7 linked regions of the Macaca fascicularis genome follow. The protein of the gene in region 2 purifies or fractionates together with the protein of the main gene of each other region. This does not show direct contact. Links are inferred from orthologs where the notes say so. Each region holds a gene or a part of one and is shown on either strand. Other genes may lie near its edges.

Evidence for each region.
Region 1: the proteins of DYRK1A (region 2) and KIAA0232 purify together in Homo sapiens (affinity purification with mass spectrometry; 3 studies listed by BioGRID and IntAct, with this or other methods). This does not show direct contact. The link is inferred for Macaca fascicularis from reciprocal best matches to the Homo sapiens genes DYRK1A and KIAA0232.
Region 3: the proteins of DYRK1A (region 2) and CREBBP purify together in Homo sapiens (affinity purification with mass spectrometry; 4 studies listed by BioGRID and IntAct, with this or other methods). This does not show direct contact. The link is inferred for Macaca fascicularis from reciprocal best matches to the Homo sapiens genes DYRK1A and CREBBP.
Region 4: the proteins of DYRK1A (region 2) and LZTS3 purify together in Homo sapiens (affinity purification with mass spectrometry; 3 studies listed by BioGRID and IntAct, with this or other methods). This does not show direct contact. The link is inferred for Macaca fascicularis from reciprocal best matches to the Homo sapiens genes DYRK1A and LZTS3.
Region 5: the proteins of DYRK1A (region 2) and TRMT61B purify together in Homo sapiens (affinity purification with mass spectrometry, with the first as the bait; 3 studies listed by BioGRID). This does not show direct contact. The link is inferred for Macaca fascicularis from reciprocal best matches to the Homo sapiens genes DYRK1A and TRMT61B.
Region 6: the proteins of DYRK1A (region 2) and PPP1R3F purify together in Homo sapiens (affinity purification with mass spectrometry; 3 studies listed by BioGRID and IntAct, with this or other methods). This does not show direct contact. The link is inferred for Macaca fascicularis from reciprocal best matches to the Homo sapiens genes DYRK1A and PPP1R3F.
Region 7: the proteins of DYRK1A (region 2) and CDC27 purify together in Homo sapiens (affinity purification with mass spectrometry; 3 studies listed by BioGRID and IntAct, with this or other methods). This does not show direct contact. The link is inferred for Macaca fascicularis from reciprocal best matches to the Homo sapiens genes DYRK1A and CDC27.

Annotation. Positions count from the first base shown.
Region 1 is NC_088379.1:6,264,474-6,267,973, forward strand, and holds part of KIAA0232 (uncharacterized protein KIAA0232 homolog), read right to left. Parts: 5' UTR 3,359-3,500; coding exon 3,128-3,358; intron 1-3,127.
Region 2 is NC_088377.1:9,632,439-9,636,562, forward strand, and holds the start of DYRK1A (dual specificity tyrosine-phosphorylation-regulated kinase 1A), read right to left. Parts: upstream 2,801-4,124; 5' UTR 2,468-2,800; intron 1,876-2,467; exon of another isoform or gene 1,847-1,875; intron 1,621-1,846; exon of another isoform or gene 1,015-1,620; intron 1-1,014. UniProt on the Homo sapiens protein: Dual-specificity kinase which possesses both serine/threonine and tyrosine kinase activities. Exhibits a substrate preference for proline at position P+1 and arginine at position P-3.
Region 3 is NC_088394.1:4,561,963-4,565,462, forward strand, and holds part of CREBBP (CREB-binding protein), read right to left. Parts: intron 2,958-3,500; coding exon 2,715-2,957; intron 1,350-2,714; coding exon 1,247-1,349; intron 923-1,246; coding exon 776-922; intron 1-775. UniProt on the Homo sapiens protein: Acetylates histones, giving a specific tag for transcriptional activation. Mediates acetylation of histone H3 at 'Lys-18' and 'Lys-27' (H3K18ac and H3K27ac, respectively).
Region 4 is NC_088384.1:84,134,897-84,139,033, reverse strand, and holds the start of LZTS3 (leucine zipper putative tumor suppressor 3), read right to left. Parts: upstream 2,801-4,137; 5' UTR 2,162-2,800; intron 2,036-2,161; exon of another isoform or gene 1,877-2,035; intron 1,116-1,876; exon of another isoform or gene 990-1,115; intron 1-989. UniProt on the Homo sapiens protein: May be involved in promoting the maturation of dendritic spines, probably via regulating SIPA1L1 levels at the postsynaptic density of synapses.
Region 5 is NC_088387.1:93,353,674-93,357,173, forward strand, and holds part of TRMT61B (tRNA (adenine(58)-N(1))-methyltransferase, mitochondrial), read left to right. Parts: intron 1-2,220; coding exon 2,221-2,323; intron 2,324-3,500.
Region 6 is NC_088395.1:49,441,474-49,444,973, reverse strand, and holds part of PPP1R3F (protein phosphatase 1 regulatory subunit 3F), read right to left. Parts: intron 3,181-3,500; coding exon of another isoform or gene 3,126-3,180; intron 2,375-3,125; coding exon of another isoform or gene 2,273-2,374; exon of another isoform or gene 1,834-2,272; intron 1,063-1,833; coding exon 1-1,062.
Region 7 is NC_088390.1:68,162,520-68,166,527, reverse strand, and holds the start of CDC27 (cell division cycle protein 27 homolog), read left to right. Parts: upstream 1-1,208; 5' UTR 1,209-1,331; coding exon 1,332-1,358; exon of another isoform or gene 1,359-1,585; intron 1,586-4,008. UniProt on the Homo sapiens protein: Component of the anaphase promoting complex/cyclosome (APC/C), a cell cycle-regulated E3 ubiquitin ligase that controls progression through mitosis and the G1 phase of the cell cycle.

The sequences.
Region 1 (3,500 bases), on a different chromosome or scaffold from region 2:
CTTTACTTCCTTATCATCCTGCACAGCTGAGACCAAACTGAGGCATCCAATCTGTTTCATAACTCAAGAGCACTGTGTGTCTGCTTTAGCCTAAACCAGGAAAAGTGATGGGTCTTAAAACTGGCCGCTCAAGGCTAGACTAACTCAAGGACAAAGGGGTGAGAGAAGATGTGAGGAAATGAACACCCAGGAGTAGAGTGGTTTGGCCTCCACCTGAGGGGCTGTGTTAGCACAAGCATGAGCCAGAGATCAGGAAAGGTGGCACACACCGTCACCCAGGTCTGTCAGCCTTGCTGTTAGCTGGAGTTCTGAATGACAGAAGCTAAGGGCCCTTCCACTCTCCTTACTCTTGCTAGAAGAGAACCATCCTTGGCTTCTGCATCCTCTGTGCCTGGGGAAACAGTAAGCACATCCTCCCTTTGAGTCAGGCATCTGGCTTTTGCCACCTTTAAAGAGGGACTGTAACTTCACGGAAAAGTAACGTAGGGGATAAAGGATTCTCAGGTCATGTCTTACTAAAACAGGTATCATTTAAAATTTGACCTTCTTCATCGGCATGGGACTTGGCACACACTGCTGTTACTCTGGACCAAGTAGAAAAGTATTTTAGGGCCTTTTATTTCCCTATGGATTCTCCTTATAACTCCAGACATGTTATGCTTTCCCTAACCTTTATCTGTCCTGTGTCCTGAGGAATGAACCAGAACTCTGGAGGGAGGATCAAACACAGCTGCAGATACTGATAGTTCATCTTATCTCTGATCACAACCCCCTAGAGCTAGTAAAGAAACCAGAGGATTCACAAGTCTGATCAGAGATGTGATTGACTATAATCTTATTAACATCTGGCCTGTTTTATCCTGTATGTCCTATAGCACCCAGAATATATTTTGTGCTAGTAAATGTATTGGTGTTGATTAACTATTCTGGACTGATATTGCTGACATACAACTCTAAGAAATGGGAAGTTCAAGTCCTACTAAAAAACTATTCTTTCCAGCCTAGGTAAGAGAGAGAGACAGTTTTTTAAAAACTAGCTGGGTGGGGTGCCACACACGTGGTCCCAGCTACTCAGGAGACAGAGGCAGGAAGATCGCTTGAGCCCAGGAGGTTAAGACTGCAGTGAGCTGTGATCACGCCACTGCACTCCAGCCTGGGCAATTAGAGCAAGACCCTGTCTCAAAAAAAAAAAAAAATCATTCCCTATGAGTACATGCTTACAATGAAGTATGTAATTTTTGAATGATGAGAAATATTTTCCTCATTTCTGGAAATGAAAGTCCTTCCATGTTTGTAGATTTAACGTCTTACTTGCCTGTAAAGGAGTATATTTGACATTTACCAGAAAGATGATGGCAAATAACAGAGCTCTGGGAAGGAAATTATACAAAATACTGACCACCAAAATAACACAGTTGCTGATTATTAGGTTATAAGTTAATCGCTTCAAAACCTTACTGGATCTACTGCCAGCCAAGGCAGCAAGCAACCTGGAAGCAAGACACGTCCACCATGTCCAGCTAGACACGATGGGAAACCGTCTCATCAAACATGTCCAGCTAGACACGATGGGAAACCCTCTCATCAAATATGTCCAGCTAGACACGATGGGAAACCCTCTCATCAAACATGTCCAGCTAGACACAATGGGAAACCCTCTCATCAAACACGCTCTGTACAACTCAATGTTAAGCTGACTGGAAACAGTAGCTCCCATCTGTAATGCCAGCACTTTGGGAGGCTGAGGTGGGAGGATGGCTGGAGCCCAGGAGTTCAAGGCTTCCATGAGCTATGATCACACCAATGCACTCCAGCCTGGGTGACAGAGCAAGACCCTGTCTCAAAAAAAAAAAAAGCATCTTGGTGAAATCCTCTGTATTTACAGGACTTTGAGGCTTTTTTGTGTGGTTTGGAGGGGCAAAGCCAATTTCTTCTGACAATGAAACTCTTCCTGCTTTGCTTTCAGTGTGGGTAACAATGGTTTAAAACAGCAACAAAAACTGCCCACAAAATACCTCCTTCTTTTTACTGTCTATAAAAACCAAAAGACTTTACGTGAAATTTGTACACAGAAGTCACCCAGAGCCCATTTATTCACTACTGATGACTCTGGTTCCCTCTGGCAGGCCTCACTTTCAGTAGCTCCTCTTAAGAATGAGACTGAGGTTAAGATTTTTTTCAAGAACCTGTATTTGGTTTCTCTTTTCTTTTTGTTTCTCTCTCTCTCTCTCTCTCTCTCTCTCTCTCATATGCATGTGAGAGAGACTGAGTGTTGCTCTGTTGCCAAGGCTGGAGCGCAGTGGCGCAATCATGGCTCACTGCAGCCTTGACTTCCTGGACTCAAGCGATCCTCCCACCTCAGCCTCCTGAGTAGCTACAGACTACAGGCACGTGCCACCATGCCTGGCTAATTTTTTAATACTTTTTTAGAAACTGGGTTCTATGTTACCAAGGCTGGTTTCAAACTCCCAGTTTAAAGGGATCCTCCCACCTCGGCCTCCCAAAGTGTTGGGATTATAAGTGTGAATCACCACACCCAGCCCAATTTCTCACTATAAACTCAGCAGCAAAGTCAAGTAAAATGTGTAATGACCAACTTACAAGGTGGCACACACTGACTTATGGCAAAACTGTGTGCTTTACTGAAGTTAAAGTCTACTGATTTGTTATACATACAGACTAATAAGCAGTTAAATATCTTTCTTGCAGATAAAATACAATATTAAATTTGGAATGGTAAGAAGTATAATAGATACAATGTTTAAATATCTATTCATAATGTATGAGTTTTCTAAATAGTAGAAATCAACATTCTAGAGCACTGCTATTTAAAGGCAGCAGGTCATCAAACTATGACCAATCCATCACAAGATCTGGAGTCTATGCCAAAACGTAATCAACAGTGAGAAAGTCTAACCATGAATGAAATAACTGCACTTAACAGGGTGCTCAGTGACACAGGCTGATTGACACTCCAAGGCAATCTTACCATCTGGTCACTGACAGGTTAAATGTTTGCAGAAACACATGAATAGCCCAGTTTTAAAGTATGAAAGTGCTTGTTTAAGAGGAATGTATACATACAGATACAATCAGTTTTCACAAAACACTTAAAATATGTAAATACCTGTTCCTGCAGGTCGTAGTCATAGCTGTCATGCAGCAGAAGACTGAGGACATATCGAGTGTAAATCATGGCATCAATGCCACATTTCTCGAGCTCTTGTCCCAGCCAGGTCTGCACTGGACCCAAAGCATGAAGCAGAGACATTTCAGAAACAGACACAGGGCCTGGATAAGAACTTGAGGAGCTTTCAGATGGCAAACCATCCACAACAACTGTACAGATAGGGTACATGAATTTAGGTTGCCGACATCCTTAAAATGTGAAGCATTTTCTGCAGTTGATATTCTGTTGGTATCTGGAGGGGATTTTCACTCCAGTAAAAAGGAGAGATGCTTGACATGTAGGATAAGCATTTATTTTTGCTGGTAGTCAG
Region 2 (4,124 bases):
CCTACCGGCTGGGCAAGCTGGTCGCTCCACGGAAAACCCTGAGAACAGCGCCTGGCACTTGTGAAAACCATATTCTAAGGCGTATTTTCTGACAATTTGGGAGGAATTCAAGAACCAAATGGTGCTGGCATTCCTGCGCTGCGCCTAGATTACGGGATTCGTGTCACCTAGGGTTGGGCTAAAGGCACAGGCAAGGAACCGAAGTCACTGACTCACTAATTTTACCATTTTTAACTATTTCAGATTAGGGAGGAGCCTTTGGCCAAGAGCTGAACTGCTCAGCAGCTTCAGTGGCTCCGAAGCGAGAGTGGGTTTGTGCCTATAAATAGACTCGTGAAGTTTTGTGGCGATACACAGGTATCCATTCTAATTCACCTCTCCTCAGCCACCAACTCCCCCGGCTGCCGGGCAGGTCATCCCTCCACCCCGAGCCGCCGGGGACACTCGCGCTCCCCGCCCAACATCGGAGACCAGTGAGTGCCCCTCGCTCAGGCGCGGACCCCCAGGGCCGCCGAGGCAGCGGCTCCCGACCTTCCCCGGCGCCCGGCCCGGCCCCGCCGTCCTCGCCCAGCCGGCCCCATTTTCTTAACCCGTGCATTGTCCTTGCGAAGCACCCCGGCGGTTCCCACACTGGTGGGGACCGAGAGGAGGGACGAGGGAGGAGCTGGGGGAAGAAGATGAGGAGGAAGAGGAGGAGGAAGACAACCTCCACCCCTTCGCTCGGGCGGCCAGTGAAGGTCTGGCGCTGTCTACGGCCCCCCAGGCCCCGGCTCCCGGGAGGCCGCGGCCCCCGCTCCCACCCTCCGCAACTTTCCCTCCGCTCGCGCCCGCCGCTCCTTTGGGACCGGGCCTGAGGCTCCCTCCCCCGGCGGCCGGCCCAGGGCCCGCGGCGCCTCCTCCTAAAATGGCAGGTCCCTCCCTCCGCCCGGCCGGCCTCGGCTCGGGCCCGGCTGCGGGCCGCCGGGGTAGCCGAGCGCCGAGCCGGGCGGGGCCGCGGCCGGGCCGGACACTCACCGGGACGATGGCGGGGCGCTCGCGCCGCTTCCTCCGGTGAGTCTCAGCCTCGGGCTCCCGCGCCGCGCTCCCGCTCCCGCCGCGGCCTCCGCAGCCAGCGCCGCCCCGGCCGCCTCTCTCCGCCCCCGGCGCTCCGGCTCCTGGCCGCGCCGCAGCCTGCTCAGTCTCTCCTCGGCTCGCGGTTCCAGCGGCGCCCGGGGCCGGGGAGGCGACAGCCCCCTCCCCGGCAAATACCGCAGTCCCCGGGCCCCGATTCCCGGCGGCGGGGCCGCGCGGCCCGGCCCGGCACAGAGGGCGGCGGCGGCGAGGCCGGGCGCCGAGCGGCGGCTGCTGCCGGCGGCTTCTTCCCGAGGAGGATTTTGTAAATCTCACAAAATGGCGCGCGCTCCGAACCTGCGCAGCGAGAAGCGCCGGGGCCCGGGCGGCGGCGGCGGCTCCTCCGCCAGGAGAGCCCGAACCGCCCGCCCCCGAGTCCCCGCACAGACAGACAGACACTCGCACACACCCGCACACTCGCGCGCACACTCGCCCTCGCACACGCTCCCTCGCACACACTCGCACTCACACCGGTCCCGCCCGCTCGCCGGCGGCGGCAGCGGCACCAACAGCAGCAGCAGGAACAGCAGCAGCAGAAGCGGCGGCGGCGGCGCCCGCACCCCCCGCTCGGGGTGTCCGCTCTCTGAGCCCGACCTGGGCCGCGATCAGCAGCAGCGACGGCAGCAGTCTCCCCGGATACCCCCGCCGCGGTTGCCGCCGCCACCCCCGCCTCACTCCAATGGGGCTTTTTATTATTATTCGGGCGGGAAGCGAAAGGGTTTAAAAAAAAACCAACCAACAAAATGGCGACGGACCGACCCGGTCGCTATAGCAACTGTCAATCAAAACGCAAAACCCCGGCTGACGTGCTGACGTCCTCCTCCCGCCCCCCGGCCCCGATCCGGCGGGCGGGGCCTGTTGCTCAGGTAACGGCAGATTCCGTTCCCTCCTTTCCGTCTCCCCCTCCGTCCCCAGCCAACCACCCAACCCCCTCAGGTCACGTGAAGGATAAATTCGGAGCTCGGGCCCGCTACGAGTGTCAGAGGAGGGCGCGTGATTCGCCCGGGGGAGGGGAGAGGAGGGGGACGGCTAGGCCGAGAGAGGGTAGGGACTGGGGAAGGGGGGGCGAGGCGGCGGCCAGGCCTGTGCGCGAGCGCCCGCCGCCTCCCGGCCGCCTCGCCCCGCCCCGCGCCCGCGCCGACTGCGGCCCGGGGAGCGCGCGCGGCCTCCCGCGCCGCCGCCCCCGCAGCCCTAGCGCCCCGCGCTTCCGCGTTGGCGCCCGCAGCCCCGCCCGCGCCGGGGGGAGGGGAGGGCTGCCCCGGGCGGGGGCGGGGGAGGGGGAGGGTCGGGGCGCCGCGGCCTTCGGGCAGGGACCCGGGAAGCCCACCCCGCACGCCCGGGCCTGGAGGGCTCTCACCGCGGTCCGGACGCCGCGCTCGCCTTTCTCCCCGGGAAGCGCGCCGGCCGCGGCCGGCCGCGCGTGGAGCCGGTTCTTCGAAGGGCTCGCGGGCCTCCTCGCCGGAAAATGCCGGCGGAGGCCGCGGTGGGGGCGGGGAGGAGCCGCCGCCGGGCCCCAGACATCGCAGGAATTCCGGACGCTGCGCCGGGCCCCGGCGGCCCTGAGGCTGGCACCCGGCTCCGGTCGGGCCGCTCGGGTTTTGTGGCGCCCGAGACCAGCGTTGGGAAATTAGGCTGGAGCCATCATGAAAACTTTTTCAGGCTGTGCACGCTCGCCCGTCCCTGCCCATCTGCTTCCAACCCCTCCCCACCTTTCTGGGCGCAGCCTGCCTGCTCCATCGGAATGCCCCTTAGATAAATCCCCTTGTGCTGTTACTGTGTCCTTGTCGTCCAGCTCCCTGGTTTTCTTTTCTGTGCAGCTCCTCGGTTTCCAGCGTCTTAATTTGCCTACTTGTCCTTAACCATCAAAACTCTTTATTAATATCCTGGCTTTCGCTGATTTTTATTCTGTCTACCCCTTCTGCCTGCCTATGTATTGCTGGGTGAGCTCCTGAGGCTTGAAAACCCAAGTATGCCATGCTGGCTGCGTTGTAACCGGCATAGAGCCACCAGCTAAAAATTGTATTTTGTACCAGCTCTAATGGCATTTAATAAATGTATAGCTTAAAAAAGTGTGTGTGTGTACTATTTTACAGCAGAGTCACTAATTGATTTCTAAGCTTGATTTTGCCTCCTTGTGATAGTGTTCATAACCAATTTTTTTCATAAACCTCACAAATATAGTAGCAACAGATAAAATTTTATAAACGATATTAGGTGTAAAAAACTAGCAGTAAATACCGCTGTGTATGCTACATGACTCAAAGACACCTGCTTTAAATGATTTCCAGCAAAAATGTCCTTGCTACAGTTACTAGGACATTGATGTACTAAGGTAACCATTCAGATTAGCACAGACTGAAAGAAATCCGACTAAACCGAAAATAAACTGGTCAAAAAGTAATTACTAAGGTAGCCATTCAGATTAGCACAGACTTGGAAAGAAACCTGACTAAACCGAAAATAAATTGGTCAAAAAGTAATCGGGCAAATAGCTTGCTTTCAGACTGATCTCCATAATATAAAAAAAAAGTTGCCGTAACGGGCAAAAGTTCTTTCGGATTATTGTTTCAAAATTGCCCTGCTAATGTGATTAAAGTCCACGGTCAACTTAATTGTTTTGAAGAAAGAGGAAGTGGCCCAGAGCGCCCCTTATTCAGAGGAGAGGTCGCTACCTGGTTCCTCCCAAGCTCAAACTTCCACCTATACAACCAACTCCTTCCTCTCTGCTCCCGGGTCTCTCTTTCCTGCCCCCACCCCATCCCACCCCGTTAACCAAGCTTTCGCTTCTATCAGAGCACGTCAGCATTTGCAACCTTTAGTACTAAATTAAATTTGACTCAAAGTTTTATTCCTGGTAATGGAAGAAACTTGCGTAGTTAATCTTCTTAGGTAACCGGAACAGAATATGACAGTGTCTCAAGATATGTGTCCTTGTCTTCAGTTCAAATCAACCCAGAAGATCATCGGAGTAGGGCAGAATCTTGAGATTAGAAACGTGTGGGAATAGAAGGCAT
Region 3 (3,500 bases), on a different chromosome or scaffold from region 2:
CTGTCTCTAAGAAAGAAAGAAAGAAAAAAAAAAAAAAAAAAAAAAAAGGCCGGGCGCAGTGGCTCATAATCCCAGCACTTTGGGAGGCTAAGGTGGGCAGATCACTTGAGGTCAGGAGTTTGAGCCCAGCCTGGCCAACATGGTGAAACCCTGTCTCTACTAAAAATACAAAAACTAGCTAGGGGTGATAGCACCCACTTGTAATCCCAGCTACTCGGGAGGCTGAGGCAGGAGAATCGCTTGAACCTGGGAGGCAGAGGTTGCAGTGAGCTAAGATTGCGCCCTGCACTCCAGTCTAGGGTACAGAGCGAGACTCCGTCTTCAAAAAAACCAAAAAGTTAACTTAACTTTGTTATGTTAACTAACTGTAAGGTGATAATGACATGCCATCTATAAACTCATCCAATTCTGAGGAGTCTCCACAACTAGAATCTGGAACTACAAAATAAGGTGAGGTTCTTGAGCTAACCCCAGCCGCCTCATGCAGCATTAAGGCCAGGCTGCACTGAGGGTCTTTGCCTCCGTGACAGGGGCTGTAAGTCAGTGCCCCTCGGCAGTATAGAGCCACCAATGCTCTCTTTGTCACCCCCGCTCACCGAGGACATGAAGTGCGGGAATCTCTGGCCTGCCTAGGGCTGCCAGAGTTCTACCAGCAGTGAGAGTGGCTCCCTAAATAAGCACGTGACTTGTATAGGATCCTAGGGTACTGTCATCCGGTAGTCAATGGGCAACACAGGAACAAAATCATCTATGAAACTGTAAAACTGTTACGTACAGTTTATGCACTAGATGGCTCCGCAGGTCCTGAGTGACATGTTCGTGCCAGCCTTTCCTTACACCAGTGCTGGAAGGAGGAGCTGCTGTTGGTATAGTGCTGAGGGTTCCAATGTTACCAGAGTTGGAGCCATCGTTCATCAGTGGGCTATGGAGGAAATAAGGACACTTCATCCATCTACTGAAGCGACTCAAACATACTTTGTCTAATAAGGTTCTTCTACCACCACATGTGACTTCTAAAAGTTTAAGTCAGGAGAGCCAAGTAATGTATATAAATAAAACTTAAACTATGTTTAATCTATTATCTGCTCTACACTTACAATTAAAGAAAAAAAGGAAAACAGCATTCACCCCTCACCACCCCATTTAAACTATTTTCTCTGCCACACATTTAGAAAGAATCAGTTTTGTGTGGTTCTCAGTCCACGTTCTTGTTGGACTGTCACTCAGAACTGAAACAGGGTCTTACTTTGTGGCCCCCAAGGAAGTCGGAAGAGCTGATTCTGAAATCAAGTTTGGGGGCTGCTGATCTGTTGTTATTCCTCCTGCTGGAATGTTCATTGGATTATTTCCTTTAAAGACAGAAAGAAATCAATCAACTCTTAAATTTTAATATATACTTCAAAGTTTTGATGACAGATAACCAACATGTCATCACATAAACAATTGGTGATTATTTAAATAAGTGATTCTGGTCAGTTATAATAAGCACTGAGGCAGGAACCCCGAGTGTCATATTTTCAATAATGGTAATCAACGTGCACAAATAATCAGTAGACACCTCCCCACTCTACTTGGTAACCAAAGTAAGGTGTGTTTATGGAGATTAGCTGGTATCTAAGTGAAAAAGTTATAAATGATCCATATGCAGCCTCTGACTTTCATTCTGCTTCATTAGTATCACTTCTGAGTGACTCAGCTGCACTGACATATACCTCTGTGTCTCTACCCCCAATATCAGAAAATAAAATCATAGAAATTAAGCTCAGGAAAAAAATACAGAGGTCAATTTGTCTACAATCTTCATATTAAAGTAAAGGAAGGCCGAGATTAATAAAGGTTAAGTTTGTCCTAAATTATACCATCAACAGGAGAGGAGTTAGATTAAGACTTGGGTCTCAGGACTCTAACCCAGTCTCCTGGCCACTATTAGTTAGACATTCACTGGGGCAGTTGTTTTCCAAAAAGCAACAAATAAGATGACTTTAGCTGGGCATATTTTAAGGAATAATTGTTAACCGTAAAATACTTTATTAGGAAAAGAACAAAACTAGCACAGCCAGCCAGCCAGTCTGGACTTCACAGACATCACTGCTTAGCTTAAGCCTAGATGTAAAGGGACTGTGTCCACTTAAAGAAAAATATTAAGGAAACCATATGCAGAAATGGCAAAAATCATGGGTATGTGTGAGCAAATGACCAAAGGTGGGCAAATAATGGGCTGGGGTGACAAAAGAAATGCTGACATGTCCAGCAGCCTGGGAAAAGAGTTTCCAGGGCTCCTGTCATTAACCTGCCGAAGTCCAGGCTGGTCACTTCCAACTGTGGGGTAGACCCTAACCAAGATGTGTGAGGAAGTGGCAAACGCAAGTTCTCCATCAAATAAATGACAACAGTCAGCACGAGGGGTCCAGTCAGCATCCTGACTTGTGAGATCTGCATTCTGAGCCACATGGCACATTCTTTATGAAAACTGTCCAGAGAGAAGTGGCACAGCAAGCAACAAAAACATTGCTTCATTTGCAAATGCTGCTCTTTTTATAAGCATATAACATTTTCCTTGCATTAGACACTTCAGCTTTTTACTGGGAGATTTTTATTTCAACCACTGTAGTAAAAAACACAAAACAAACTGAAAACTGCCTTGGGTTCCATCACTCCATTCCCTTTGCTATATTTGGACAAGTAAGAATGAAGTTGAGAGTTTCTTCACCTACCCAGGGGGTTGAGAGTCCTCATCTGCTGGTGGGTTTGAGGCTGTGCTGGTTGCTGGCCAGGAACCTGAGGCTGCAGCTGCGTCTGGGGCTGGTTCATGTAGGGGAGTCCGAGAGCAGCATAGGCTCGCTGCATGGAGCTGGGGTCTATGGGATTTGGGTTACTTAAAGAAGTGGCATTCTGTTGCCCTGTGCCAACAGAACCAATTGTGTTTTGAATTCCACTAGCTGGAGACCCCAGGATGGCTATAACGACAAACAGACAGACAAACGAGAAAGGTAAGTAAAAGGGAGAAGCCCACAAATGATTTAAAAAACTACTGAGAAGCAAATACATTTCATCAAAATACTACACATGAATATCATAAAGCAGTAAAACAAGGCTAGGGAGAAAGGAACTGTGCTGAAGGACTCATGTATTCTGCCTAGCAGTAAGTGAGGAACAAAAAGTGAAAGAAAAGTGAAGTTTCTATCTTAGCAGGCAACAGATCATAAAATTTCACAGATAACACCTGAAAAAAATCAGTATGTTTTAAAACCTAGAGACTCCTCAAGAGGTCAGTTCCAGGGAGTGGCAAATGTATGACAAGGGAAACGTCTGATTCTCTGGTGGGCAGCAGACACCTTGAGATGAACAGAGGAGCACCCTCCTGCTGTTAACCCCAACCCTGTCCTTCACTGCTCACCTGCACAGGTACAGAGGGCTTAAGAGAAGGAGCAGAGATGATACCTCGTTGGTCAGTTTTGATTAATAAATCTATGATGTGCTCTTCTAAATCACATAATTGC
Region 4 (4,137 bases), on a different chromosome or scaffold from region 2:
AAGAGCTTCTTGTCGTAATTTTAACCTGTCATGGTTAACCCCTTGCAAACATGCCCTGCCCCTTGTCTCTCCCAAGCTTTGACTGCTGCAGCTTCTTTCCACAAAATCCCAGTAGGGCACTGGCAGGACAAGGAAGAGGATGTTTCCCTGATAAGCAGGAACTGAACCAAGAGGAAAGGTCCTGAACTGGCCCAGGTAACTGAGCATGGTCTGCAAAGGCAGCCTCCTGGCATCAGTGCACCACCCTGGGATGACAGCCTGTTGTCCAACTGCCTCGATCTCTGTCACCTCAGCCCTCAGTGCCTGGGGCATTATACACAGTATTAGCGTCATGAAGGTGCCAAACGGACTCTACCTAAGAGTTACATGTATAGGTACCTCCAACCCACTCCCCAACCTGTGTCTCTCCCAAAGCTAGGAACACTTGGTGTCTCAGAGGCCCCAACCCCAGACCATTCTATCTCCTAAAAATCTCTAGCCAGCCCCTCCATCCAGCACCCCTGCTGGGGGCTCCTCAATGGACTTTCTTCTCCTGCACTCCCTCCCCCAGGCAGCTGCCAGGGAACTCCTTCTAAAGGGCAAAGCTGATCTTGCCCCTGCTCTGTCCAGATCCTTCCACGAGCAGGATCAAGTGCAGTAGACAGAGTTCTGGCAGCATCAGCTCCAAGTGTAAATCCCAGCTGGACTGATTAGCAGTGCAACCTCATGCAGGTAATTTCACCTCGAGTTCTCACACTTACCTTGCAGGCATTTTAAGAAGTAAATGTATAATGGGTGAAACGCCTGGTATTCCTCTTGGTCCCCAGAACAAGAGTAGAGCTTGCAGCAGGGTCCCCAAGGCCCCTCCTGATGCCCCTCCTCTATCTCCCCTGACCTGAGCCCCTCTCTACTTCACACACAAGCTCTTGCCAGCTCTCTGTGACCATCCTACATGCTTCTAGACCAGTCCAAAGGCTGGCCTCAGGACAGCATCCCTGATCTCTACCCACCCGAGGGGGCGTCTTGGAGCCCTTGGCTCAGGTCACTCCAGGGAGATTTCACTCTGAGGCATCCCCATGTCTGGCCTGTAGGTTTCCCAGGGGCACAGATGGCAGAGTCCTAGGGATCTCTGGGCCCTGCACCAAAGAAATGCAGGGCAAATGCCTGTGGGAATGCTAGTTATGGGCCATGCAAAGAGGCAGTGAATCTGGGCAGGGGGAGCAGAAGGGGTTTCCAGGAAGCAGGACGGAGGGAGGAAAGGGATCTGGGGGCACTGCAGGGCTTTTGGGGTGCAGAGATATCCAGAACTTCTTGGTTGGGATGAGTAAGGGGAGATCCATCTTCCCTCGGTGGCCTAAGCACTGGCGGCGGAATGGGCCCATCACCTAGCTACTGGCTCTGATGAAGCCGGTGTTTCCGGACTGAGGACTGAGGGGGCCGAGAGCGCCCCCTCCACCCCGAGCACACACACGCGCGCAAACACGAGCTTCTGCTGGGGGTGGGGGGGTCGCCATTCACCAGCAGCCCATGGCCCGCAGAGCCAACTGATAGAGACCCCAGCCACAGGCCACAGGACCTAGGAGTCCCTGCGATGGGGGAAATCCCGCCCGCACCTCCCCAGGCTCCCCACCAACGCGTGTGGCCCCGGGGGGCGGGGCGCAGAGGGAAGAGGTGACATAATCCGAGCCGCACCCCCTCTGGCCGCCACCTCCTCCCAGGCCGGGCGAAGCATCCATGACATCATCCGCCTCCTCTCCGCTCCCCTCCCCATTGGGACCCCAGCAGCGGGACGCGCCCCCTACCCAGTCCCGGTCAGGTCTGACATGCCGCGCAGTGCAGCAGGCACGGCGGCAGGTCGGAGCCGGGAGGGATGCCACGATGGGCCTGCCTCACTTACTCGCTGCCTCAGGGTCCGGCGCGGGGTCTCCGACACGGGCGCCACCGGCCCGGCTCGCTGGCGCAGCCCGAAGCACGCCCGGCGGGACGCGCGGCGCGGGCCCGGCTCCGCTCCGCGCCCCTCCTGCTCCCCGCCCGAGCCCCGCCCACCAGCGGCTGCGGCAAACGCGAGCCCGCCCTCCGGCCACGCCCCCCGGGACAGCCAATGCCCGGGCTGGGGCGGGGCGAGGCGCCTTAACCCCTTCGTCGCTGCGCCCCGCCCGCGCGTGGGACCCCTCCGCCTCACCCTCTCTAGGGCGCAGCAAGACAGCCACAATCCCCTCCGGTCATCGCTCGTTACCCCCCAGGCCCTTGGGCTTGGGTTTAGGCCCAGTCGTTCGTCTGCAACAAATCCAATGGAACCGCGCCCTCGCTGAATCCCACGTCTAGGAAGAGGGGGAGGAGCTCCTCTTGCTTGGGTGAAGGGGCTCCCGACTCCGAGCCCCGAGCCCCATTCCTCTCCCGCGCCAGCTCTTCCGGACGCGGCCTCCCAGCGGACGCCTTTGGACCTTGCAAGTCCGCTAGGTGGGGTCGGGACGAATCGTCGCGGGTGGATCCACCCGGCCGAGAAACGACCCGCCCGGGCGCGAGGACCACGGGCTGTCGTGCGGGAGGCGTCGAAGGGCAGTAAACTCCGTTCGTGATCAAACGGAGACGATTTGAAACTTGCTGCTCACACTGGATCACCGTCTGGAAGGTGCGACGGGGAAAAAATGCACATTATACCCCAGCAGGATTGAACGCTTTCACCCTGTCCCGCGCCTGGCGTAACGCGTGGCCCCAGACCACACGCTGCAATCCGGGGTGAGAGGGAGTGAGGTGGGGACTTTGTCCCGGACCTAGAGCACCGGCCTCGCCCGCGCCGGCAGCGTTCACTGTGGGGAGTGCTCACTCAGCCTAGGGCGGCCCGGGAGGACTGCCGGGAGGAGAAAGTCGGCCTTGAATTGAGGCCTCAGCCTTGAATAGGGTGGGGAAACAAGCCTGGCCGAGAGTTTAGCACTAGCAAAGGCCTGGAGGCACCAGGGTCTGTCCTAAGAACTGCAGTCTCTACTGTGGCTGGGATTTAACGCATTACGTCTCTGCTGTTTATAGGTGTCGTGTTTGGTCTTACGACTTTGTATTCTCTAGTTTTTATTTATTCCTGTTTTCTGAATTTTCCCACATTTGCTTTTATTTTCTATCGTGATTTTCAAGGCAGAAAGTGTTTTTAATTCTTCTCGCGACTGCCTTTAATCAAATGAAAATAGTTTACATTTCACAAATTAGTAAAGTCAGTGACAAATAATTCGTTTTTATATTCCCCTTTATGTCATAAGAAATGTAATGTGCTTTTCTGCCTCCTACCTGCCGCCCTCACTACTTATATTTGTCCACTTAATCAGGACAACAGACCTAGCTTTTGTTTACACTTTTTTTTTAAGCCACATTCTTTTTCAATCCTTGTTTTTGGCTTTTGCCAACTCTATTTAATTGGTTTCAATGTCACTGCCGGTTTTTTGTATTCTAATTTTTCTATTCCTCATTTGGACCTATCTCTCACATGACTGGCGATTTCAGGGGGGACTCTGGAATGTTGTATTCCTAAGCCTTTGCCCTAGGTGAGAATGCCTTTACAGTGATTTCCTATTTATAGGATTCTTGAGTCTCAAGCTTTCCCCCTCAAAACTCTTGTCTTTATTTCATTGTCTTCTGGCACTGAAAATGCAAAGCTGGGTTTGTCTGTTTAAGGTCAGCAGTTTGCTTGGTGCTTGCAAGGGTTTTTCTTTACCCTCAGAAGTCAAACATTTTGCCAGTATAAATCAATATGGGCCTTATCTATTAATTTTCCAGAAACAAAAGAGGTCTTCTTTGCAGCTTAGAAAAGTTTTCTTCCTGTCCATTCTGTGAAAAGATTTGGGTTTTTTCTTTCCTGTCCTCTAAAACTATCACATTGGATCACCAATGTCAAATAAATCTGTTTTCTCTGCACCCTGGGAGACTATATCAAGTTTTTCTTCACCATTACGGATTTGATTTTCATCAGAGTCAAGAGTACTGTTTATTTTCTCCAATAAGACATTTGATTCTGCTTGTTTGATTTTATTTTCTTTCAGCCAACTTCCATTCCACCTCTGTCTTTATCTCAACTTAATCTCTCTTTATAGTCTCCATTCCTATTTCATAGAATAATATGGTTTTGCATCTTTTTTTTTTTTTTTTTTTTTTTTTTTGAGACGGAGTCTC
Region 5 (3,500 bases), on a different chromosome or scaffold from region 2:
GATCATTTGAGCCCGGAAGTTTGAGACCAGTTAGGGCAACACAGGGAGACCTTGTCTCTACAAAAAATAAAAAATTAGCCAGGTATGATGGCACACACTTGTGATCCCAGCTACACAGGAGGCTGAAATGGGAGGATGGCTTGAGCCCAGGAGTTTGAGGCTGCAGTGAGCCATGATCTTGCCACTGCACTCCAGCCTAGGGAACAGTGTAAGACCCTGTCTCAAAAAAAAGGTGAGGGGGCAGGTGCAGTCACTCGCACCTGTAATCTCAGTGCTTTGTGAGGCCAAGGCAGTAGGACTCCTGGAGGCTAGGGTCAAGGCTAACCTGGCCAACCTAGCAGGACCCCATCTTTATAAAAAATAGAAAAAAATTAGTTGGGCATGGTGGTACATGCCTGTGGTCCCAGCTACTTTGGAGGCTGAGGTGGGAGGATGGCTTGAGCCCAGAAGTTCGAGGCTGCAGTGAGCTACTGTTGCACTACTACATTCCAGTCTGAGCGACAGGGTGAGACCCTTTCACCAAAAAAATTTGTTTAATAAATTAAAAAAAAAAACAGTTTTTATTAATGTCATCCATAACATTCGTGTTGTGTTAACAAAAACAATTCCAACTATATGTTTGGCAAATGGGTCCTCCAATCTATTTCTAGCATAGTCCCTTTTTTTCCTTATATAGCAGAGCTCCCCTACCCCCAGGCTGAGGACTGGTACCAGTGCATGGCCTGTAACAGGGAACCAGACCACACAGCAGGTTAGCGGTGGTAGTGAGCATTACTGCCTGAGCTCCATCTCTTGTCAGCTCAGCCATGGCATTAGATTCTCATAGGAGTGCAAACTCCTGTGAACTGCGCATGCACCAGATGTAGGTTGCATGCCCCTTATAAGAGACTGACTAATGCCTGATAATCTGAGGTGGAATAGTTTCATCCCAAAACCATCACCCTCTCCCCAATCTGTAGAAAAATTGTCTTCCACGAAATGGGTCCCTGGTGCCCAAAAGGTTGGGGACCACTGTTATACAGTATCTTAATTCTAAATTAGAAGCTCATCATTTGGTCGGGCACGTTGGCTCACGACTGTAATCCCAGCACTTTGGGAGGCTGAGGCCGGCAGATCACCTGAAATCAGGAGTTTGAGACCAGCCTGGCCAACATGGTGAAACCCCATCTCTCCTAAAAATACAAAAAATTAGCTGGGCATGGTGGCAGGTGCCTGTAATCCTAGCTATTTGGAAGGCTGAGGCAGGAGAATCGCTTGAACCCAGGAGGCGGAGGTTACTGTGAGCCGAGATTGCACCACTGCACTCCAGCCTGGGTGACAGAGCGAGACTCTGTCCCAAAAAAAATAAATAAGTTCATCATTTTGGGCTGGGCAGGGTGGTTTACGCCAGTAATCCCAGCACTTTGGGAGGCCAAGGCGAGCGGATCACCCGAGGTCAGGAGTTCAAGACCAGCCTGGCCAACATGGGGAAACCCCGTCTCTACTAAAAATACAAAAATTAGCCGGGCATGGTGGCAGGCACCTGTAATCCCAGCTGTTCGGGAGGCTGAGGCAGGAGAATCGCTTGAACCCGGGAGGTTGCAGTGAGCCAAGATCACGCCATCGTACTCCAGCCTGGGGGACAAGAGCGAGACTTCGTCTCCAAAAAAAAAGAAGTTCATCATTTTATGCAGAGATTATATAGTAAATTCCTAACTGGTCTTCCTGCCTCTTGATTTTTCTCCAGTAGATCCTGTATTCTTCTGCCAGATTAATCCTCATAAAATGCCATTTATATCACCTCGGTGACACACCCTGGTTGCTTATCAGGCCGAGTTCTAATGCCTCATACTGGCATTTAGTTCTCTGCGTATCTCTCCTGAGATAACAAACTGTATTTATTCTACCTCTGCTTTGTTTAAAGCTGTTTTTACCTTGTGATTGTTCCCATAAATTGTCTACTCTTTGTCTTTAAACTAGGCCATCCTGCTGTTCTAAGAACTTATATTGTCTGTAATTTTGGTATTATTCTGAAGTGTTGCCTTATTTGTTAACTGATTCTTGGATCTCTCTTATTTCATCAAGTGAAATATAAACTCTGTAGGCAGAGTGCCTGTAGGCAGGTCCAGAGTCTGATTCGTTTTTTCACTCCCTTCTCCATACTCGACAGTGTAAGATAAGACTAGGCGCTTAGTACATATTTATAGGTCGCTGAGTCACCCATACTGTTTTCAATCATAGGATATTAGTATGATTCTCTTGATGATGGATATCAGCCCAGGTGATACTGTTTTGGAAGCTGGCTCAGGCTCTGGTGGAATGAGCTTATTTTTATCCAAAGCAGGTAAGAGATTGGATTGAGCTGGATCTCGGTAACAAAGAAAACGTTCAATTTGTTCATAATAACAGAAAGTTATGAGGATATTTGGGAAAATACCTAACATTGAGGTAGCATTCTCCTAGAATCTGAATGTGAGCACCTATTTTTCTTTCCATTTTGTACATTTATTCCAGTCAGTCTCTTTCTGATCCTCCCTCCATTTTCTTTGCTTTGTCTTTTTCCTTCATGCTCTCTAATGCTGCTGCTTTTTTCTTAAGTATACGTTTTATTGGAATATAACATAGCTACAGACAAGTGTGCAGATCGCAAGTGTATACCTCAGCGAATCTTTGTATAGTGACCACTTGTACTTATTACCCAGATCAAGGTAAGGAGTGTCTCTGCCCCACAGATGCCTCCTCATGTCCCCTCCCAGTCCTTATCATCACCAAAGGAAACCACTATTGTGACTTTTATCACCACTGATTAGTTTTGCCTCCTTTGAACTTATATAAATGGAATCATACAGTATGTACTCCTTTGTATCTGGCTACTCTTGTTCATCATTATGTTTGTGAGATTCACTCATTGCATACAGCAGTAGTTCTTTCATTTTAGTTGCTGTATAGTACTCTCTTCACAATTTACCCATTTACTGTTGATAGACATTTGAGTTGGATATTATAAATAGTGCTGCTCGGAACCTCCTTGTGTACTTGTCATGTTATTGTTGAATAATAGTGCCAGATGAATACTTAGCCTGAGGGAATATGGAAGGAGGTTGTCAGCTGCTGGGGGGAGAGTTAGACATCGTTAGGACCAAAGAATTATAGTAGGTGTTCATAAAGAAATTAATCATAGTACAGAGCTGTTAAGTAAAAAGCTACATTATGAAGAATTATCTCTTTTTTTTCCCGAAAGTCTCTAAAAATTGTCAGTTGATAAAAGTACTGCTTGAAGGTGGGTGTCTGATCAAAAATCAAGAGGTGTATATTAAACATATATTTTTTCATGTTCCTACCACTTAATTTCTGGTTACTTTTATGCTAGTTGATTAGTACCCCTTTGCCTACCTAATTTCTCTGAGTGTCAGGGTTGTTTTGGGTGGTCTGACTGTCTGTACAGTGTTCTCTTCCCTACATAATGATAAACTGTTGAATAGTCACAGTACTTTCTTTGAGTAGATTTTATAAAGATTACA
Region 6 (3,500 bases), on a different chromosome or scaffold from region 2:
GCTTGGGCCTGCATCCTTTTCATCCTGGGAGCTCACATGAGGCCTGGCTATGCTAGAGAGACAGACTTCGGCCCCCAAAGGACTGAGGAGGGTGGGATTTTGCCCCTGCAGAAGGACAGGAGAGGCTGGCTCCTTGCCAGATATGGGATCAAAGCTGCCTGCCCACTCACTGGTGACCTCTATCTGGGCTTCTGCCCCGGCCTCCCCCAGGTACTCGGTCACCCCAGCTATCACCCTATTCATGTGCAAAGAGCTAGTGTCCTTGCCCATCCCTTTCTCAGGATCCCCAGTGAACTGACCCTCTGTACCCAGAACCACAGGGCCGTCACATCCTGAGCCCTCTGCCCATGGAAGCCACACATCTCCCATAGTGGCTACCACAGAACGGGCCCCGGAGAGGATTTCCGGAGGCGATTCCTTGGGGCTGTCCCCTTCTGGGCTGGAGGGTATGACAGAGAGCCCCTCTTCACCCTCCCCCTCATCATCAGGGTCTTCAGTGTCCTTGATGAGCTCCACGCCACGCCCCAGCCGGGCATAGTGCAGTGTGATCTCCTCAGCCAGGGCGCTGTTTAGGGCCCGCTCAGGGCCAGGCCACTTCAAGATCAGGTCGCGGTCCGTCAGTATGCCCAGGGGATGGCTGGGGGATATCCCTCCATCTGTGGAACCCTCCCCACCACCCCCTGCCCCACCCGCAGCCACAGCAGCCCGTAGGCGGCTCAGATGAGACAGGTAGAGCTGCTCCAGCTCCTGGTCAATGGTGTCCTCACCGAGCAGCTCCTCTGACCCACTCATGGCCTCCAGCCCCCCTCCACTCTCACTCGATACTCCCCATGTGGCCTCTGCCTGCTGCTGGCTGGGCTCCAGGAAAGGCCCGGTGGCCCCCTCGCTCGCATCGGGCCCTGAGGCCTGGTCTCTGGGGGAGCCACCCAGGCCACAGAGAGGGGAGGAGGGGGGAATCCTGATGGCCGGTGCCTGAAGGACTTCTGTAAAAGCCACAGGAGGACTGCTTCTGGGGACGTCACCTTCTTCTGCAGGGTTGCCAGTCATCGGAACATCAGAAACCTGGAGCCATGGCCGGGGCGAGGGGGCAGAGAAAAAGCAAGGGAATGAAGCAGAGGAGGGGATGGAACAAGCAGAGACAGTAAGAAGTGTGACAGCCCACAGCCAGCCCCACAGGGGTTTCTATATAAAAACACCTTAAAGCACCCTCTGTCACTGTCTAGACTCCAAAGACTGTCATCTATGGTAAAATAACACAATTAGATGCAGTAAAACGGGGCTTCTTGCAGATTATAAAGCTGAGGAATTCGGTGGGTGTGAATATTTGGTGAATGATAATCACTAAACACTGTTGGCTTACCTTTAAAACAGAGCCAGTTAAAATAACTAAAAGTATAAGTAGCCAGGCACAGTGGCTCTCATCTGTAATCCAAGCACTTTAGGAAGCCAAGGGGGGCAGATCACATGAAGCTAGGAGTTCGAGACCAGCCTGGCCAATATGGTGAAACCCCCTCTCTACCAAAAATATAAAAATTTAGCTGGGCATGGTGTTGCGCACCTGTAATCCCAGCTACTCAAGAGGCTGAGGCAGGAGAATCACTTGAACCCAGAAGGCAGAGGTTGCAGTGAGCCAAGACTGTGCCACTGCACTCCAGCCCGGGCAACAGAGAGAGACTCTGTCTCAAAAAAAAAAAAAAAAAAAAAAGAGTGTAAGTGGATTGTTTGTAACACAAAGGATAAATGCTTGAGGAGATGCATACCTCCTTCTCCATGATGTGATTATTACGCATTGCATACCTGTATCCAAACACCTCCATAAACATATACACTATGTCCCCTCGAAAATTAAAAATTTATACATTTTTAAAAATTAAAATGCAAAAAAAATTCCCAAAACACAGTCGGGATGTCCATATGAACCCATGATGTATCATCTTCTCTTTTAAAAAAAATTATTTCCTAGCTCCATCTTTTGAAAAGGCCTAGAAACAATGACCAATCTAGTAGCAGCAAGAATGCTGAGCCCCCAAATCTTGGCCTTTGAATGCCACTCTCCACTGAAAGGAACCAGTGCTCCTTAAAGAAATAGCTGCTTCTGGCCAGGTGCGGTAGCTCACGCCTGTAATCCTAGCACTTTGGGAGGCCAAGGTGGGTGGATCACCAGGAAGGTAAGGAGTTCGAGACCAGCCTGACCAACATGGTGAAACCCTGTCTCTACTAAAAATACAAAATTCAGCCAGGTGTGGTGGCATGTGCCTGTAATCCCAGCTACTCAAGAGGCCGAGACAGGAGAATCGCTTGAACCCAGAAGGCAGAGGTTGCAGTGAGCTGAGATTGTGCCACTGCACTCCAGCCTGGGAAACAGAGAAAAACTCTGACTCAAAAAAAAAAAAAAAAAAAAAGAAAGAAAAAGAAAGAAAGAGAAAGAAAAGAAAGAAAAAGAAAGTACAAGAAAGAAAGAGAGAGAGAAAGAAAGGAAAGGAAAGGAAGGCAAGAAAATAAAGAAAAAGAAAAAGAAAAGAAAGAAAAGAAAAGAAAAGAAAGAAGTAAATGGCTGTTTCCAGGCTTGGGGCAGGGAGAGTACAGGATGAGCCTAGCACATATTGTCATGGAAGATGTGAGAAAGGCTCACAGAATGATGAGGACGTGTCAAAAGGACAGAGGAGCCCATCTCAATAAGCTCCTACTAGCCAGGGGTAGTTCATTTTAAGCATCAAAAAAACACACAAATAAGTGCAATGGATTAAAACTCATCAAATATGTTTAGAATTCATGAGTTCATAATGACACAAAACCAAAAATCCTTTTATTCGTCACCTTTGGAGTAGTACTTCTCTGAAAACTGGTAAATAAAATGGAAAAAATTAAATATTTACACTGCTTTTTCTGCACAAACTATATCTCAAAGTAGCCAAATAGCTGGTGTGGGACAGTTTTTCTTTAAAGAAGAATTCTAGCTAATAAAGGAAGTGGGAATAGTAGAATTAAATAGAGTTAATTCTAGTTAATTTAATAATAAAAGATTAAATACATTCATTTAATACAATTTGATAAATTAAATTTAATAAGATTACATTAATAGAATTAATAAATTAATAAAAATGGAGTAAGAAACGTATTTCCACCTGGATGTAATCAGCCAGACCCAGACTGGAAAATTCTACAGGACAAGCAAAGTTTCTTCAACCAACAAATTGCAAAGAAACAAAGTGGGGGAGATTTTTAAAATCTAAAGAGACACATCAATCAAATGCAACATGTCAACCTTGTTTGGATCCTAAAACACTTATGAGAGAAGGAAACTTGAACACTGACCAAATACTTGATGATACTAAGGAATTACCGTCTATTTTCTGAGGTGTGATGATAGTATTATGGGGTTAAGAATTCTTAATTTTCTGGCCAGGCGTGATGGCTCACACCTGTAATCCCAGCACTTTGGGAGGTCAAGGCAATGGATCCTGTCTCTACTAAAAATATAAAAATTAGCCGGATGTGCT
Region 7 (4,008 bases), on a different chromosome or scaffold from region 2:
GAGTCTCACATCTAGCCTAGAGAACTCCTGACTAGAAGAGTAACCTTCAAAAACCGTTTTTCTCTTCTGCTGAAAAACAAAATTTAAACAGTTCCCTAGTTCACTCTCCTTCGGAGGAGAGGAAGAGCAGAAAGGAAATACAAGAGAGTCTACATTGCGTGCTAGACACAGCCACACTTGTAATACATCAAATTCCCTTAATCCTTTTTTTTCAAACTAAGCAAACACAAGTTCAGAGAGGTTGTAATTTGCCAAGGACCTATGACTAGTTAGTGCTAAAGATACAATTCAAAATCAGGCCTCTGAATTTCCTACCCCCTACTCTTCCCACCACAGTGGAATGCCTCGCCTGTCAAAAATAAAAATTTCTAACGGCCTATTGAGTTTTTCCATGATCTCTTCACCTAAGTAACTATTTCCAATTAATGCCTTCTCAGCAGGCTGATCTCATTTTTCCTTCCTTCACTTTCCTATACTTATTTTTCCTCTGATTCTACCCATCCTTCAAACTCCAGTTTAAACTTTTTTTTCCTTCCATAAAACTTTCCTCATCTTAACACAATTTCCCTCTCTGAATTTTTATATTACTTATAATAGGCACCACATAATATAGCGTTCTCTGTTACACTGCTTTTCCCTTAAATAGACCTTAACCTCCTTGAGGACAGAAGCTATCCTAATATCTTTGGAGTGGCAATCTTTCCAAATTTCTTTAGCTTTCCCCAGAGCCGTGAGTAGATACTTCTGGAAAGGACGAATGATCTAAACTCAATAGACAAATACTTGTTGATTCATTAAAGTCTGCCCCAAACTCTGCTGTTTCACCCTTTGCTTTATAATCTACAGCACATCAATTAACCCAGAAGGGCTGAGTGGCGAATCCACCCTGCAGCCCCGCCACGTAACGCTCCCGGGCCGCTCAGTCACGCCACGCCCAGCCTGCTGGTTGCCGATTGGGCGTGGCCCAGCCCTGGGACGGCCGATTGGGCGTGGTGTGCGTGACTGAAGGCGTGGCTGAGAAGAAAACCTACGCTTTGGGTTAGACTCGGTAGTTTCCGGGAATCTTCGACAATTTCCGGCAACGATTTTTCTCTCTCGTCGACCCACCTCGGGTATTTCCGACCCCTTTCGGGCTTTTCCGTCTGGCTCCCGCTCGGCTTTCTCCACTTCGGGAATTTCCGTGTCCCGCTCGGAAGCACTCGGCAATCGCTCGGCCTCCCCCATTCCCCGGTAACGGTCGCTGGTGAGTTTAAATGAGCCGGGGCTGGCCGGGCCGGAGCCGCTACCGGGGGGGCCTGAGGCACTGCAGAAAGTGGGCCTAAGCCTCGAGGATGACGGTGCTGCAGGAACCCGTTCAGGTAATGATAACCCTCTTCTCTGAGGCTTGGCTTGCAGCCTCAGTCGGGAAGCAGCGTAGGGCCACTCCGCGGCCTGGTGCGGCCTAGGCCCGGCTGCTTCTACCGCCTCCCTTGCTGCCGAGTCCTGCCTATCTTCCGTCAGTTCGGAGGCCTTGCCCGCAGCCTAAGCCGTGTTACCTCTGGCCCTACGTTACTTCACCCTTAGTGTGAGCGGCTTCGGCGAGAATAACCGTCTTTCCCGTCCGAGCCAACGTCCGGCCAGCCCTTCCTGTCAGCCCAGGGGCCTGGCTTGACTGGGGTTGGGAGATGAGGGGCCGAAAACGCACCCCAGGCGCTCTCTTGCCTAAAAGATGATCGAGAAGCACATTTGATCGGAGCTTGTATGATCTTCGCGATGGTAGGGCAAGTTTGCGGAGGTTTTTTTATTTTTGTCTTATGTGAGAGAGTGGAGGGAGAGTAGGATCGGTATCTTTAATACTAATTTCTATTTTGGTAACAGACTTCCTCTCCCACGTTTCCTTTCTCGGTGAATTTCCCACCGGACAATGATGGTTTGAGAAGACAACTCCAAGCCTCAGTGCTGAGGTGCAAGCACCAATACCAGGGGAGGAGGTGGAAAGGGCATATCTGGGTTGTTTTCATCCTCTCTGATGGGGATCAGGAGCATTTTGTTGTGCATGTTTATAAGGCATTCAGGAAATGAAAGACAAATAGTGGTGTTTGTGTCTGTTTCACTGCCCTTACACCAAGGTATGCTTTGACGCACAGTGCTGTGTTGCATTAAAGGAACCCTATTGGATTTTAAGTCTGTGATGCAGTGCCAAGTCATTTTCCCCTCTGACATCTGGAGAAACTGAATCTTTTGTGCCTTGGTAATGGACCAGGTCTGGGAGACTTCCTCCCACCATGTGATCTTTGACTTGATCAGAATTGACTTCTATCAACCACTGTCATTGAGTCTTGGACTTTATTTTGAAGTTATAAAGCAAACCGATTTTTAGAAATTCCTTCATATTGCCCTTAAAAGGCTTGAGGTATCAAATAGTAAATATTTTATTATGTCACTGCTTTCATATTTATTTCATTTTTCTAAACAGCATGAAATACTCATTTCTTCTAGTTTGGCTTCTTCTCCAGCTGTTTACATATAGCAGCTATTAGTGTTTGAATTAATAAAACGTTAAGATTGTATCTTATGAAATTTTCCTGTCTGTAAGTTGTATCGGTTTTTCTAGAGCTATTTCTTTTTACCAGCATAGTTTCTTTTAAGGCTTTTTTTTATTCTGGCTGTAGATGAGGTAATTATATAATTTTTTAAGGCCTAACATGAACTTAAATAGATAAGCAGATTACTCAAGTTATTTAATTTCTGTTGCATATTCTTGTAATTTTGTTTTAATAATGATTTTTTTTTTTTTTTTTTTTTTTTTTTGCCTTCTCTGGCCCCAGAAGTCTTCTAAAGTGATAAACTAGTTGCACTGATAGACGATAACCACCATTTAATAATAATTTCAGACTTTATAAAAGCATGGAAGGCCGGGCGCGGTGGTTTACACCTGTAATCCCAACGTTTTGGGAGGCCGAGGTGGGTGGATCACCTGAGGTCAGGAGTTCAAGACCTGCCTGGCCAACACGGGGAAACCCCGTCTCTACTAAAAATATTAAAAAATGAGCCGGGCGTGGTGGTGGGCGCCTGTAATCCCAGCTACTCGGCAGGCTGAGGCAGGAGAATTGCCTGAACCCAGGAGATGGAGGTTGCAGTGAGCTGACATGGTCCCGCTTCTCTCCAGCCTGGGTGACAGAGTGAGACTCCGTCTCAAAATAAATAAATAAATAAATAAATAATAAAAGCATGGAAAAGAAAAGGAATATGTATCCTATTTCTAGATAGTACCCATTAGGTTTCCTATTTGCCCTTAAAGTACTCTTAGCAGTAACACACTTCAATATTTTTAAGGCTTAAATGTCAAATTTGCTTCTTTTTCATACTAGCATTGTCCATTAGATTTTTGAGATAGTGGTAGAAAGTTTTAGGATATAACTAGGTAAAAATTTTGGTTGTATAGTATAAGAAGAAGCCATTCAAGAAGGGATTTGGAGCAGTGAGAAGAACAAGCAACTTTAACTACAATGATAAAGATCAATGATCAGGGATAGTGCTGCAAATGGGAAAGAATTAGGAAGAGAATAAAAATAGGACAGACACATAAGATACTGTCTTTATTTAAAAAAAAACAAAAACAAAAAACTATGATGACTGATTGCATGTATTTGGAAAGCAGTGAGAGTAAGTTGGAAAATTGTTCTTTCTTGGAATGCCTCAGAGTTGATGGTATTACTAGGCATAGGAAGAAGTTCACAGAAAAGATGAACAACTGTTTTCTGCATTTTTTTTTCTTTAAAGTTTTAACGTAGAATGGCCAGGCTGATATACCATATATGCCTAAATTAAAACTCCATCTCAAATTACCACTTCTCAGAAGAGTATTACTTTATATTTGAGTCCTTATAAAAGTCTCAAATATGAGGCAGAAGTTCTGTCAGTTCCTTTATTTTTAATAGTAACTATTTGGAAAGACACACTAGGCTAAGTGACTTCAGTGAGAGCTTTTTGGAAAAGTCATCTGATGAAATTGGTTTTTTAAAAAGA